2 linked regions of the Lonchura striata genome follow. The protein of the gene in region 1 purifies or fractionates together with the protein of each later gene. This does not show direct contact. Links are inferred from orthologs where the notes say so. Each region holds a gene or a part of one and is shown in the gene's direction. Other genes may lie near its edges.

Evidence for each region. The genes of interacting proteins can lie anywhere in the genome.
Region 2: the proteins of PPP2R2C (region 1) and CCT8 purify together in Homo sapiens (affinity purification with mass spectrometry; 3 studies listed by BioGRID and IntAct, with this or other methods). This does not show direct contact. The link is inferred for Lonchura striata from reciprocal best matches to the Homo sapiens genes PPP2R2C and CCT8.

What each region holds. Positions count from the first base shown.
Region 1 is NC_134606.1:12,004,825-12,012,142, forward strand, and holds the start of PPP2R2C (protein phosphatase 2, regulatory subunit B, gamma), read left to right. Parts: upstream 1-3,854; 5' UTR 3,855-3,985; coding exon 3,986-4,028; intron 4,029-4,189; coding exon 4,190-4,270; intron 4,271-7,318. Other genes in the region: MAN2B2 (epididymis-specific alpha-mannosidase), read right to left, coding at 638-769. UniProt on the Homo sapiens protein: The B regulatory subunit might modulate substrate selectivity and catalytic activity, and might also direct the localization of the catalytic enzyme to a particular subcellular compartment.
Region 2 is NC_134604.1:4,124,080-4,132,582, reverse strand, and holds the start of CCT8 (T-complex protein 1 subunit theta), read left to right. Parts: upstream 1-4,987; 5' UTR 4,988-5,083; coding exon 5,084-5,143; intron 5,144-8,062; coding exon 8,063-8,153; intron 8,154-8,503. UniProt on the Homo sapiens protein: Component of the chaperonin-containing T-complex (TRiC), a molecular chaperone complex that assists the folding of actin, tubulin and other proteins upon ATP hydrolysis.

The sequences.
Region 1 (7,318 bases):
GCTACTGTACTTCAGAGGCTAGGCTCCAACCTCACCCCAGCCATCGAGGACCTGGGATCTTGCTCTCCTCTCTTAAGAAATGACAGAAGGTTTCCCTGGGGTTTTGGCTTTGTAACAAGATAAACATAAAGACCATGAAAATCTGCCACATAAGCAAAGCTCCATCACACAGAATTAAGCCTTTCCTTAGAAAAAACCCCATCAGGAGTATCCTGCTGAACACAGGCACACACAAACCCACAGCTCAAGGGCAGGGCTCCTAGGCTGAGCACGCCTCCTCCGACGGAGGATCCCGAAACACCGGGGGATGGCGGACACACCAGGCCGGACACGGCGCAGGAGCTGCACGGGCCAAGATCTGCGCCTGCCTCCGCCGGCGGCGCGCCCCGGGAGCCGGCGGCGCGCCCCGGGAGCCGGCGGCGCGCCCCGGGAGCCGGCGGCGCGCCCCGGGAGCCGGCGGCGCGCCCCGGGAGCCGGCGGCGCGCCCCGGGAGCCGGCGGCGCGCCCCGGGAGCCGGCGGCGCGCCCCGGGAGCCGGCGGCGCGCCCGGCCCCGTTACACGGCTCCGGGCAGCCCTGCCTGCGGGCTCAGCCCCGGCCGCAGCCATCCTCCCCCGCCCGTGCGGCGCCCCCGCCGACCTGCACCGTGTAAATCCAGCCGACGTCCATGTGGCTGTGGGCCACCACGAAGGCGCGCAGCTCGCCGCCGGCCCGCGGCAGGAGGGCGAGCAGCGGGAGCAGCGGGAGCAGCGGGATGCGCGGGGCAGCCATGGCCGCTGCGGCGCTCCCGCCGCACTTCCGCGTCCCGCGGCACCGCCTCCCCGCCCGGAATCAAATAAATAAATAAAAGAAGGGGCAGGAGTCTCCTGGGGAGCGGGAGGCTCCGAGGCCCGAGGGGTGACTCCGCCCGCGCCCCGAGCGGCGCTGCGGGTGCGCGGCGGGCGGAAAGCGCCGCCCCTGTGCGGGAATTCCGGACCCAGTTCGGGTATCTGGAATTTGGGTAACGCTGGGCTGCTCGGGGAGAAGCTGAGTTCTGCATCTTGGACATCTATAAATATTTCTTGTTTTCCTTTGAATTGAAAGGAAATTTTGTTTCGTGGTATGGTACTTCATTACGGCTTATTGTCTGCATCTCTGAAGTTTTGGAATTGAAGAAGGGTTAAATTTTATGTGGTTGACCTTCTGATTCCTGCTAGGAACAGGTGGACCCTGTGCTGAGGACTGGAAAGGTAAACACTTCTGTTTGAACTGCATAAAGTCCTAGTGAAAAAGGAAAAAATCCAAACCCAAACAAAAAATATTGTCGCATAGTGTAGTCCAGTCTCCTCAGAAGTTTTTTTGTAAGCAGATGCACCACTTTCTGCCTATTAAATCATTGTGACATAGAAAGCCAAAACACATAAAACTATATTTCTTTAAACTTGGATTCTTTAAAAAACATACACTATAGTATAGATCAACTACTTTCCTTAAGTTTTAGTTTGACTAAATCACATACTTTTAACAACAATGCAATTCTGAAATGACACAAAATGTCATATCAAAGTCCTCGCTCATTTCCAACAGTGCAAAAGTATAGAACATCACATGGAGAAGGGTAACTGCTCCCACCTTCAAGTTTGGTATGGATTTAGCATTACGCATTACATCCCAAACCTAGTTAAACCAGTCATCACTCTGTGATTGAAGGAAACAATCACAAATAGCTTAGTAGTGTCCATCTGCCAGACTAGCTGGCTCCTAGTGCAAATTAAACCACCTCAATACTCAAGACACCTGTAAAAAAGGATCACATAATTTGTATTGATCTCGTCATTCTAGAAAGAAAAAAACATGTGCTGCTTTACATACCAAACTTGGTGGGTTTTTTTTTAACATATAAAGTTTTAAATAATTGTTGTAAATAATTGAAGATGGAAAGGAAAACGCTTTATGTAAATCAGTAGTAATGAGTTGAACGCAATAAAATGGCCACATTCCATAAAACTTAAATCTAATATGAATATATTCTCCCAGAACAGGGCCTTTGTTTGCTATTTCAAAGAGTTTTAGAGTTTTCTGTGAAAATAAGAGGCTAACATTAGAATGCTAATATCAGTTTTATTTTTGATAATAATACATTGTCATGAAGAATAATCAAGGTCTATAGGTAACTTTTAGGGGAAGTTAGTACCACTATAAGCAGCTGGATGAAGCTTTACTTTAATACAGCTCTATGATACATTTTTCCCCCTCAAATCATCAGCATAAACATGTTAATTCCGAGAATGCTAGTGCACATCCAGCAAACATATGGCTTGAAGATATATATACACACACTGTCTAAACACACTGGTGTTTTTACCTCAGAAGGCAATACTATCTTTGTAATTTAGGTGAAGTTCCCAGGAAAGCTTAAATATCAGTGTTTTGCTTTGTTGCTAAAAGTACCTGGGAATATTTGCTGAATGTTACTCCAATTTAAAATCTATTTCCTTCAGAAACTGTAATTGTCCTCCTTATCCTTTCACAACGGCCACACTGCACCTCTGTCTTGGATAGAGTGGAGAAGAATGTGAATCAAACTGCCCGCAGTTCATACACCTGAAGGTATCAGGAGGGGTTCTACTTGCTGCAAGAAGGGATGAATGGTATGTCAGGTGGAAAGGTATGTCAGGAAACAATTCTTCCCTGCCACTTACATACTGCTTCACAAACAGCAAAAAGATAGATGGAGGAGCCAGTGCAGTCATGCCATGATAGCCGCCTATGTCGATACTTTATCCTCTTGTTGGCTCCTAATCTCATAGTATGGCTTCATTATAGTCTTCCTCTCTTCTTTCTTAAGCTTTTCTCATTAGCCTATATGAAGTGTGGCTGCTCTTTTTGACACAAACTGTGCCATACGTGGGCCTCTGACACTGTTACCTTGATAAGACAGAAGCCGTGGGCAGGATGCTGCCAACTACAAGCTAAGAGTCACAATTGTCTTAAATTAGGTATCAAGAAAGTCACCTGGTGAACAGAGCAATTAATGTGTACCTTTATATTTCTCTCCTGACATGTTTTTGGGGTGGAAGTCTCTAAGAATAAAGGCGTTTATTAACATATATTTGCTCTAGCTGACTGTTTCAGTGTTTTATAATTTTCCATTTCCCAAACCATTTCCTACTGAAGGCAAAGGTCACTGCACAGAGCCCTTTAGACTTACTTGGTAGCAGGTTTGCTTTCTTTACCAACGTCTCAGGGATGCTGTAAAGACAGTTTGTGTATTCACAGGGGCTCGTGGACCAGAGGAAAACCACTCTCCAGCCTTGCAGTACATATATAACCCAACTGTTCATGTGGCATTTGTGGCCTTGATCAGTGATAGCCCAAGTGGCCTAGGTAAGAGAACTGAGGGCAATGTTATGGGGCGAACGTAGCTGTGGCGAGGCTGAGCGGCACTAGGGCCACCGGCAGTGGGTGCCACTGGCAGTGGGTGCCACTGGCAGTGGGTGCCACTGGCAGTGGGTGCCTGCTGTGTGGTGTCCCCCGCCAGGGATGCGCGTCCAGGCTTGGGGGCAGCCGGGATGCGCGCCCATGCTCGCCAGGCTGCCCGCACCGCAGCCACGGGCGGCACCTGACGGGGAGCGCACACGGAACGGGACGGGCAGCAGGGAGGGCTGTCCTGGCCGGGGCAAGGCCGGGCTGCGGCACCGCACCCCGCCGAAGCCGCCGCGGCCGGGCTCGGCTCGCTCCGCGGCCCCGCGGCTCTCCCGCGCCTCGGGGCCGGCGCTGCCGGGCGCGGCCGGCCCGGGCGAGGCTGCGCCGCCTCCGCCGGGAGCTCCGGGCGGAGCCTTGCCTCCTCCCCGGCCTCCCTCCCCCGGCTCCCCGAGCACCCCGAGGCAGCGGAGGCTGCCTGCGCCCGCTCCGCCGGGAGGAGGAGGAGGCGCCCCGAGCCGCGGGCGCTGGGAGCAAAGCAAAGAACAGTTCAGAGCAGCGGGCGCATTCCGGAGGGCGACACCCATGTCCCACAAACAGGGTATCTGGAAACGCGCTCCTTCCCCCGGTACCCGCTGTCCCCTCTCATCCTCCGCTCCCTGCTCAGCCCTCTCCATCTCTCCTCCCCGCTCTCTTTTCTCCCCCTCGCCGCCACTTTCCCTGTCCCTTCCTCAGCCCTGTGCCCCGCTGGCTCTGTGCCCGACTGACTGTGCCTTTCCTCCTGCCCAGCCGGCGGCTCCCCCGGCCAGAGCGCGGCTGACTGGTGCCTCTGCCAGCTCAATGGAGCGGCCGAGCTCGAGGTCTCCGAAGGTGAGTGCGGGATGCTGAGCGGGCGCGTCCCCTGCCCGCTGGCCCGGCCGGCCGCGGGGGGAAGCGGGGCTCGCTGCTGGCAGCCGCCCCAGCGGTGTGCCCGAGGGCAGGTGTGGAGGTGGGCCGGCAAAGGGGTATCTGCCGGTGCTTTGCATGTTCCAGGCCTTGTAAAGTGCCTTGGCTCGTTTTGTTTTGCGGGGGCGGGCGGGGGGGAAGTTTTTTTTACGTGTAGCAGCTTAGATGGCATGAGACCTTCTGACCTTGGTGTCAGTGGGTGTTGGTGCAAAGTGGACTGAAAAGTTTTCTGGCCTTTTTTCACTTTTAACTTTGAAGAAAGAAGTCACCTGGAAAGTTTTATTTATTAATGTTCTGTGATCAGAAGAGGAACTGTCTTCGGGTGTCAGGACAGGAAAGCCTCTCATACCAACCATACCACACTGTGTATGATTTTGAACAAGCAGAATATCTGAATTTAGGTGTGAACCTGTGTCCTCCAGGATGCCAGATGTGTAGTGTGCTGTGCCCATGAGCATCTTCCAGTGTCTGTTGTCAATGAGTTAAGTGGAACTAAGACCTCATCTTGATGTTTTTGGTCTGCTGGGGTTATGGATTTCTAAGAAGAGTGTATTTACCCTTTGTAAACGTTTAAAATGCATCAGAAGTTGAGTTAGACTGAAAAACTTTCCAATACGGAGGAAGGTGGAACCCTGTAGTAGATTGGCTTCAGATTCAACATTAAGGAAAGGCTGACAACAGGGAAACACTGGAATATAGGAATTAGGTAGATAATGAAATCCCATTCATTTGAGATATTTAATGTTTGTTTCACAAACATACATTGAAGAGATAAAGCCTTGGGGCAGGCAGAAAGATTACTTGTTTGGTGTCTCTTCAGCTATTATCCGTGATCCTTTATGGTTTGAAGTTTTGTGTCTTGTATTTTGCTGTTTGGAGAAATTATTTAAACCCCAGGGTACTAATAATAAGCTGTAGCTTGACCAAGGTTTTGGATTAAGTTTTTCCTTCCTATTATTCCATGGTGAGCGGTGTCCCTATATTTCAAGGTGCACTTAATAGTGTGTGTAATTACACACAATTGCATACTAAAGCATTTATCAAAAGATGTTGTGATTTATTTTTGCCTATGTGATTTTTTTTTTGGTGAAACTGCATACCAAACCAGATGTGATGACGATAGATGGGGGTGGAAATTATATCCGTGTGAGGGAGTGTAATGAGTGAGTGACAGCATTTCTTAGGCATCACAGAATGCTGAAAATGAGCTTTAGTTTGGCATTTACTTTCATTTAAAGATTTGAATGAGTAGAATATGCTTCCTAACCTCATTTGTCTGGGTAAATACCAGTGTTTCAGCACTGCTTTGAGATGATAATGTTTTTTCTCAACAGGTGTTTTATTCCTTTGATTTATTGGGTCATCTCTTTTCACAGGGCATATTCTTTTAAATTACTTTGCTAACCCTAACTTCAGTTCTCTTTAATATTGCCAATTTTTGGATTCCAAATTTTATTCCCCAACTTAAATAGGAATCTTAAATGTTTTCTCTTAACTTACCATGGAGATAGATGAAATTCAGAGACCAGGAAACAAACTGAAGCAATGTCATTTGATCACAAAACCTGTAGAATCAAAGTCATCTGCAGGTAGTAAACCCTGTTTATGTTAATATATTGTATAAAAATATGACATATATATATTATATTGTATATAAATATATATTGTGTATAAATTATATATACAATATATATTGTATATAAATATAAGATATTGCATATAAATATAATATACTGTATATAAATATGACATTTTTCCAGAGTACATGCTGGGTATTAATGCCACTTATATCTAAGTGCACACAGAGTACTATAATCAGCAGACTTTGCAGAAGTGAAAAATAGCTCAAACAGAAGTCCATGGTGGCAGATGACGTGACCTCTTTTGCTTGACACTGTTTTTGGATGAAGTCCAAACCTTTTCCTTTGCTGAAGTATGCCTGTAAAGTAAATTACACAGAGCTAGACAGAATCTTTTGTTTAAAATTGATTGTTCCTATGACTTCCATCACAGACTTTTTTTCTCTCTTTATCCCAGTTCTTTTTTACTTTTCAGAAAGGCCACAACTTTTAATTGCAACTGCATTGGTTAGCTATATTTTCCACCCAACTGATGGACAAAAGGACTAGTTTATCTATATTAAATATTATAGTGTGATTTATATATCTAGATAGATATCTGTGTATATAAACATTTGCATATTAATAAGTTCAGTTAGTGTTCTGGGCATCTCTTGCTGCTTTTGTTTTTGAATGCTTGCATTGACCTTGCAGTACTCTAACTCTGTCAGTTAGACTTCAGAGCTGTGTTCTGCAACATTTCTGTCTTAGCCTAGGAAAGAAAATTTTTTTTTTCCAAAAATAGATGTTAGATGAAAAACATTCATTTACATAACAGAAAAGAAAAATTGCATATTTCAAATGCAAGGAAAATAGAGCATAGTAAGTGAAATATCACAATCAAAGCCAAGATAATCATGTTTGATTTAGTCTTGCTGCCTTGAAACAAAATCCTATTTCAAATATTGCTACTTCTATAATTAATGTCTAAGTGCAAAATATATTTTATTCATGCTAAAAATCTCAAAGCACTTTGCTCACAGTAAGTGCAGCCTCACAAAAGTTGTATGAAGAACAATATTAGTGTATCCATTTACAAGCTTCAAGAATTAAATATAGAAGTTAAGGATGTAATTTTCTTTAGAAGCTGTATGTTAACTATTAGGCAGATAACAACATGGGACTTCTGAAAAGTCACATCTTTTACTCTATGTCCAATGATGTACTGGACTGTTAACAAGATTGCTTAATCTAGAGCCTTTGCTTTAAGTTCCAAATCACATTAACTTCTTGCAAACTGTGTTGGTTAAAGCATGTTCGAAATATTTTAGGTTGTGAATTCTAAGCTGGCATTATGTTATTCTAGATATGAATGATAATATGTTTAATGAAAAGATTCAGTCAAAAATCATAT
Region 2 (8,503 bases), on another chromosome or scaffold:
TACCCACATATTAGAAGGTTTTGCTCTTCCTCTTCACACCACCACTCACAAATTTCACCATAATCCTATGAAAGCTTCCTTAAACCAAGAAATAGACACAAAAAGTTAAAGCAGCAGGTTTCTGTGAGACTGTTAGATGCTGTGTAAAGACTCCTTGTTTTATTCTATTCAGGGAGAAACATCTAAAGCATGTGTCTGGAATCCTCTAACACAGGCAAGTAGAGATACATGCCCAACTGAAAATAATCTATTCTTTAGACCACTGAGAATTCTGCAGAACATTTTTAACCTTTTGGAACCATACATCATACAATGGTGTCATACAACTGGTAATCCCACTTGTTCTAAGATCTCCCTTATTTTCACCCTATTGATGGTCTGGGATAGTTTATTATAACTCCTAAATCTGACAATAGATTAACTGAATAAGCCACACTGATATTAGTAACTTAACTTACATCATCAGCGGGTAAAATCATTAAACATTTTAACAGTAAAAATCTTGTACATGGCACTTTTTCAGCTTGGAGTGTGATTGTTTCAGCTTGTTTCAGCTTGGAGTGTGATTCTAGTATGTAATAACAATTATTAGATCTCAAATTCATAATCCTTTGTAAATCTCATCAGAACAGAGCATTTTCTTTTGTACAGCAGTAATAGAAATTCAACACTGAAGACAAATTGCTGGTTACACTGTATTGTAAAGAATTAGAATAATGGAGGCACAACTTCAGGGAAAAGACACCTTTCTAATATCCAGCCTAAACCCTCCCTGTCACAGCTTCATGCTGTTCCCTCAGGTCATCTCACCAATCACCAAAATCAAGAGATAGGTGCTGCCTCTCCACTTCCCCTTGATTTGATGAAGTTGTAAACTGTGATGAGGTCTCTCCTCAGTCTTCTCCTTGATGCCCATGTCAACAGAACTAAGAACCTGGGCCATAAAGACGCATAATAAACATTTAAACAGTCACTTTACTGTACTGTGTTAAAAAAAAAAAAAAAGAAAAAAGGAAAAAGGATGCTTAAATACATTATGGATAAAATCTATTTTTGATAAGCAATGAACACCTAGCCTGCAGAGTGACTAAGACAAGCAATACTGATGATAAAAACGAGTTTGGACAATTGTCCTTCAAAAGAAAAAAGGCAGAGATTTGTTTATGGCTAGATTACTGTTTCAAGAACCTTAACCTCAGTACAGGGTTTGAAACGAAAGCTGCCTGATTCTACTGAGTCATGGAATCAATATGGTTGACCTCCAAGATCATTGAGTCCAACATTTGACTGACACCACCATGTCACCTTCAGCTTGGAACTTCAATGTCTGGTGACATCCTTTAGCTAATATCAGTGAGCTTGGGGCTTAACAGCAGGATATCACCTTTTTTGTTGTTGTACTTATTACAACACTGGTACATTCACCTATTTTGAAGGTATATTAGAAAATGTTGTCTGCTCATTCCTTATATGTAAACTGTATTGCACTACTTAAATGATACCTTGGGTTAACTGTCTGTAATGATTATATATATATATATATATATACATCACTTTATTTTTAAAAATAAATAGTACAGTCTTCAACATAACAGGTTTTTTTAGGCAGTGTGTGTGACAGCTATAGTGGGTCTATAAGCTGCACAGATAATTTGGCTTAAGAGATACCAGTTTGACTAACTAGGTGGAGTTGAGACCCATAGCCAATCATGTCAATCAAATCATAATGAGGACAATATGAGAAACAAAATTTTTAGTTACTTGGGGAAGGCCTTTAATATTATTTAGGCAGATAAACAAAGTACTAAACATTGGAAAAACCTCTGTCTCTATCCTGAAGATGTAGTACTGGTTTTGACCAGCCTTAGAAAATTCCAAATTGGGCATCAAAGTCACAATATGACAAAATGAAGAAAGAAGATCACGGATGTCAGTGGCTCAGACACTAGACAGCATAAATTGTGGTCTTGAGCTCAGAATCCTGCCTTTTGAGCTACCTTTTTTTTTTGATTAGTGTTTTCAGAGTTGAAAGAAATGCAAATTGGGTGTAGTAGCAGCTTGTTTCCAGAAGCTGCAGATAGATGTTATTTATTCTACTCTTCATTATTTTGTTTGGGTATTATTTCTTCAGAAGTCTTCATTTATTCAATGCCAAGTTTGCCCCTCTCTTCTGCTGTTTCCTATATTTTCCAATTACAACTTAAAACTCCTATTTCCCTCACTCCTCAGTTTGGTGTTCTCCAAGTTTCCATCAACACATAGGTCCTGGTAAGTCCTTCCCACACGACATGAACAGCTGAACCTTCAGTAGCAGTAGGCATATATTTCCAGGTATTTACAGGCTTCTGTGCACTCTACTGGATAAGAGTTCCCATATGACCAAGCTGAAAACTTAGGAAAAGTATTTCACTAGCCCTTATCTGATGCTGTATTTCATTTCCTCAAGCAAAACAGAACTCACCATCTAGAGGACATGTCATTTTTTCCCAACTAAGATTTTTTCTTATGGCAGCAAAACAGGAATGATCTCAACAATTTTACCATCTCCCATGAAATAAAGGCTCTTGGATTGTATTTTGTTGAGTACCATACCAGTGTCACAACACATGTCTTGATTGTACCTGCAATACAAACTCAATATAAACAGCAGTGATTCCTTTCTCAGACTATCATCCTTTCCAATTTGTTTGTTCTGTGGAAGTTCTGAATTCTTGTCATTTGTGCAGGTAGAACTACAGAATTGTTTAGGTTTCAAATACCATTGTGTCCAACTGATCCCCAGCAGTGCCACACCCACCACTGAACCATGTCCCTCTGCCTCATTTAAAAGTCTTTTGGACATTTCTATGCTAAGGCAATACTCCTCTAAAGTGCCCAGAAATCCTTTCCTGTGACTCAAGCTAACTGGATTAGCTATAGCAGAGAGAGCATACACTGAGGTAAGAATTCCAAATGGTAAGAAAATCTTGCTTTCCTGTTTAGCTTACAATCCTCTGCACAAGTGAGAGAAGCCCAGGATAAGGGTAGTGTTTAACCCAGGACCTGTAGAGCAATGACCTAAGTAGTACTTAGCTGATTGGACATACTCTAGTTGATTAGTCTGTTCCTTCCCATCATCTTAAAAGTGACTTAAGTGTAATCTGGGGGAAAGCTAAAGTAACTGCTGCTACTGTTACTATTCTGAATTATTCTGAATGTTCAGCACTATGTGGTTCACAATTTTCTGTTTCAGGTTTAAGCATGATTCTCTGCAAACTGAGCATGGCCCTTAGCCTTCCCTCAAGGTGCCACTCACATTTTCACTGGCCAGTATTATTGGTGAAACACAATTGTCCTACTCACACTTCAGCAGATGTCTTCAAACCCTTCTGTTCCATTGCTCAGGTTCCCAGAGCTGAATAAACAAACAAAAATTAACATTCTGCCCTCCTTATGAACTTCCCAAGATCTTGTTAAAATTTTACCCTCCTAGAATTTGAGAAACAAGTTCCTACAGATAAGCCGGGGATTTCCATGTGCACAATTATAGATTTTGGGTGGTGAAAGTGCAGCTAACGGCCAATAGCCAACCCTCTGACCTTTGCATAGTCCTTTAGCATGTCAATGTCTATGCAGAAAATAAATGGATGCATAGCTAAAAAAAGATCAAGACCAAGTCAAAGTTGTGATTAGACAGTGAGTCCCAAAGAAATCCTGGCTGTAACACAAAGAGATGTTTTAGTGTTAATTCAATACAGCTTCATACATAGATATTGTCTATATTCATAGTCACAAGCATACATATATATTATGGTTTTAGTGGTATTCTGGCTTTAAAAAATGCAGGCAACACAAGCTTTGATAAAAGCACTGTGCCAAGAGGGCAGCTCAGAAATCATAGCATTGTAGACTATCCTGAGCTGGGAGGGACCCACAAGGATCACTGAAGTCCAGTCGAGTAAGTGCTGTGGAGGGAGGTATTGTCTGCTATTGGGGGGTTTCTGTGTGGGTTGCTGATTTCCTCAGTCAGAAGCATTGTTGCTGTTAGTGCTTGCTTTCTAAACTCATTGGTGTTTTCAGTAAATTGTTCTTATCTCAACCTGTGATCCTTACGTATTAAGTTGTGAAAAACGCCAGTCACTTGGTTTTTTAAAAATTTAAAAGCTTAATAATAATAAAAAGGTTATAAAAATAGCAATACAATTAGAGTAATGAAATTTAGAGTTAGGACAATTACAAGACAATAAAAAGCAAAGAATTACGGCAGTCTGGATGCTCTTGGACACTAAGTCACGAAAAGCATCCCTTGTGAACAAAGGAATAACCTTAAAAGCAATAGCCTGTTGCTTATTCATCTATCTCATACATGATGTATAAATTCCTTGCAAATTAAGAACTTTTCTGTTTTTTGTCAGCTTCTTCTCTTTAATCTTGGTGGTTCCAAAAAGACAGAGAGAAGGTGGAAGAATGTTTGTCTTTCCTGATAAGGAGGCTGTAACTTTTTATGGGCCCCCTTCGCTGACATCTCTGTGTGAAGAGTTTCTTGATCATCTCATCTTCTCGCTTGAGCTTGTGACAAATCTTATATCGCAGAATTTCTGTTTTAACATTATGTTGTAACCTAAAAACCGTATTTAACACAGTACTTAAGAGAATTAATACAGCATAACTTTCTAACACTACACACATAATACTCATTGTAACATTTGCGAAAAGCCAATCATAAAATACGCATTTTCCAACAAAGTGAAACGCTCGCCTAGAGCCTGCTCAGCTTATGACGTTTATCATCGGTGGCCATGAAAAAACCGGCGCTTTTCCTGGAAAAGGAAGCGCCGGGAACACGGAAAGAGAGAGGGAGCGAAGGCTCGAGCCCGGCGCCGCCCGCCCTGAGGGGCGGCGCGAACCCGGCGCGGCCGCCCCGCGCATGCGCAGTCCCCCGCGCCTGCGCAGCTCCCGCCGTGCCCCGCGCGCTCCCGCCCCGCGCCTGCGCAGCTCCCGCCGTGCCCCGCGCGCTCCCGCCCCGCGCGCTCCCGCCCCGCGCCCGCGCAGCTCCCGCCGTGCCCCGCGCGCTCCCGCCGCCGCAGCCCCGCACCGAGCGGAGATGGCGCTGCACGTCCCCAAGGCCCCGGGCTTCGCCCAGATGCTCAAGGAGGGGGCGAAGGTGAGGCCGGCGTTGGGTGGGTGCGCGGGTATAAGTGGGAGGGGGGTGCGGGAGGAGTCTCAGGGTAGCGGTGCGGCGAAAGGCCCGGAAGGCCGGCGGGGCCTGGCGGCAGCACGTGTCCCGCGGGGCGGGGGCCCGGGGGTTCGCGCAGTGCCCGGCCCGGGGCCGCTCTGTGGCCCCCGCGGGGACCGCCCGGCACACGCGGCCTTCCAGAAACCTCTGCGGGGCCGGGATCCCGCTCCCCGCCCTGCCCTTGGGCCGGGCCCTGCCGCTTCATCCCGCCGCCTCCGGGGATGCGACAGGGCCCGCGTTGTTCCCAGTGAAACGCGAGATTTAATAGGGAGTTTAGAATGATTTAGGCAATGTGAACATATCACATATAGTGAACATATAGTGTATGTTAGGTCGATTCTGTTGCAGATTGGTATAAATGAGAATTTATTCAGCCAGATTAAAAATAAAAATAATTTTATTAGCGGTTAAATTCTATCTAGGCAGCCACAAGGAAAGATCAGAGCCGAGCCCGGGGTCAGCGCTGGGTGTGCAACAAGGAGTCAGCCTCAGCAGAGGTTTTCCCCTGTGCCCACACACCTCCATCCTGGCACAGGCGGGTTTTATAGGGAAAATTCCGCTTGAGGCCAGGATTTCAGCAATCAGTCTTTTCTTCTATTCAGAGTCTATAGGTTAATGAGATTTTCTTTTTTGGTGATGAGGAGGAATAATTCAGTGTCTGGAGTAGGTGAATTCCCGATGAGATTTTACGGGAAGGCTGCATTCACCTGGATCTGTCTGAGGTTTTCCATGATATCCATCTTGGGCCGTTTATGCGATGATCAGCACCTGATGATCAACAAACACCTGCAGTCCCATGGAGTCTGGACATGGCTCATCTCCTGGTCGAGCCACATCCTTTTACTTGTAAATCAGTTTCCAATATACACCCAGTCTCGCCTGCAAAGGTGGGGGGGAACTAATACAAACGGGCATAATCTAACAAGTATCTAATATTACATATTTCATACAAGGAATGGTGCGAATTATATTTACTACACATAACATTATTAAACGTATGCAAAAAGAAGGGGGGCCTCTGATGGAAATTGTTGAGCTTGCTAAAGATGGGAAGCAAAAGGGCGGCTGTGCATCTGAGTTGGAAAGTTCCATAGTGAGGAAGACTATGGAAGCTTCATCTCACCGGACCCCAGGCTCATTTTTGAGACCATTGACTTAATAAAAGAACGAACTACGCAGTCACAGCTAATTTCCATATAATGCAGAGAATAGGTGGGGTTAGTTTCTGGATATGTATAGGTGATATAGAATATGCATGGATTTTGTGTATAAATAAGGGGATTGGGGAAGCTGGGGTACACAGGATTTGGGAAGATTTTGCCCCCCTGCGTGCAGCGCTGAATAAATACCTATCTACTTTACAACCCTTGATTGTGGAGTTATTACTGTGCATCACAAGAGCTCTCACAGGGGCTGGGCAGCAACTGTCAGCCGGGCCCTGTAATTGAAGCAGTTCAGAAGTATCCGGGTCGTTCTGCTTGATTTTTCCTGATACCTTTGGCAGCGATGCAGAACAATGTTTTCTATAGATTTCCTTACCAATAAATCCGGTTTTGTTGTGTTTGATGTTAGCATAATGAAGATTTTGGTAGAAGTGAAGAATTGTATCTTAATAAAGGAAAAGCTTTCTTTGAAAAGTGGGCAGAAAGCAAGCAGGTGTGGGTTTTATTTATTTTTTATTATTTATAGAATCAGCAGAAGACTTTGGCTTGGAAGGGACCTTAAAGATCATTTAGTTCCAAGCCCCATCCAGCCTGGTCTTGGACACTTCCAGGGTTGTGTATCTGCATTTTTTCTGGGAAATCTGTGCCAGAGCCTCACCACTCTTACAGGGAAGAATTTCAGGGATTCCTAACACTTAACAGAAACCTACTCTCATTCAATGTGAAGCCATTGCCCATTGTCTTGTCTCTCCAGGTTCTTGTCCAAAGTCCCTCTCTCCAAGAAAGAGGGAACATAGGAAACTTTTCCATTTGTTGCTACTTAATAGAAAGAAGAGCAAAGGTAGCAGTTCTGAAAGCCCTTTGTGTTTCGTTTTAGAATCCTTCTTGGAGCCAAATAATGGCATACGTTCAGGGCAGGGGCAGAACAGGGAAGCAGCGTGGCCTCAGTGTTAGAAAATTCAAAGCCAGAACAGCAAGAGTTGTCTTCTGCAAAACAAGGGGGCAATCTAAGATGTTTGGCATGAATTTAGAGAGTAAATATTGTTACTTTTCTCCCTTCTCTTATGGACTGCATAGTGCTTTTTATCCTGCTTTTTCTTTCTTAAGGTCCTTTCTAGTGGCCCCATCTTGTCTTAAGGTTTCCAAACTGAAGCCAGGCTGATCGCCTTCTCAAGCACAGATATTTTACTTAATCATTCTGCTTCTGAATTTTCAGATTCAGTTAACTCAGTTCTGTGTTTTGAACAGAGAATGAGTTAAATTATTTTTGTAGCATACAAAGGTGCAAGTAAAGAAACATGTACAGAAACCCTTGCCCCTCTCCAACTGGATCTTGGTTATTTTCTGCTTCTTTTTGGCATGTCACAAAACATTTTGGAAGACTGAGGGGATGCAAATTGTATTGCAAGTCAGGTCACTGTTCAGATTTTCTCTTTAGAAGCTTTTTGTGTCTACTGAGCTACCTAGTTGAGAGGGTGTATGTACTAATTCTCACTGTCTTGGGTAAGGTTTGGTGTCTATTTACACGGTATGTGAAATACCAAATGTATATTAATAAAAGACTTTGAGGGACTCAATGAATTGAGACTGATTTAATGAGATTTTACTAGTTCATTAATGAGAATTTACTAGTTCATCACTTTTTTTTGTTAGCCTAATTCTGATCAGTCATTTTTCTCTTTAGCATTATTCAGGACTAGAAGAAGCTGTCTACAGAAACATTCAGGCATGCAAAGAACTTGCTCAAACCACCCGTACAGCATATGGACCAAATGGTAAATCTTAAAATTATTGCTGCATTTTTGAGATGATGCTGTGTTTGGAGCTAAACATACCTTGACAAACAAGCAGCTGGGGGAAACACTGGACTTACTCTAAAACTGCAAATATGTGATTATTTCTTTGTGACTGTAGAAAACGGATTTTGTTTTGACAGCTCTTGAGTTAAGCTCAGTGTCTGCTTTTGTCAGGTTTTTGTAGCAGTCACTGTGTTCTCTTTGAAACACAGTATAAAATATATGAAAAAGTATAAAAATTAAAGGAAACATGATAACATGGTAGGCAGTCATAGTGAACATAAGCTTGTTTAGTCAGATATATGGAAACAAAATATTCTCATCTATCA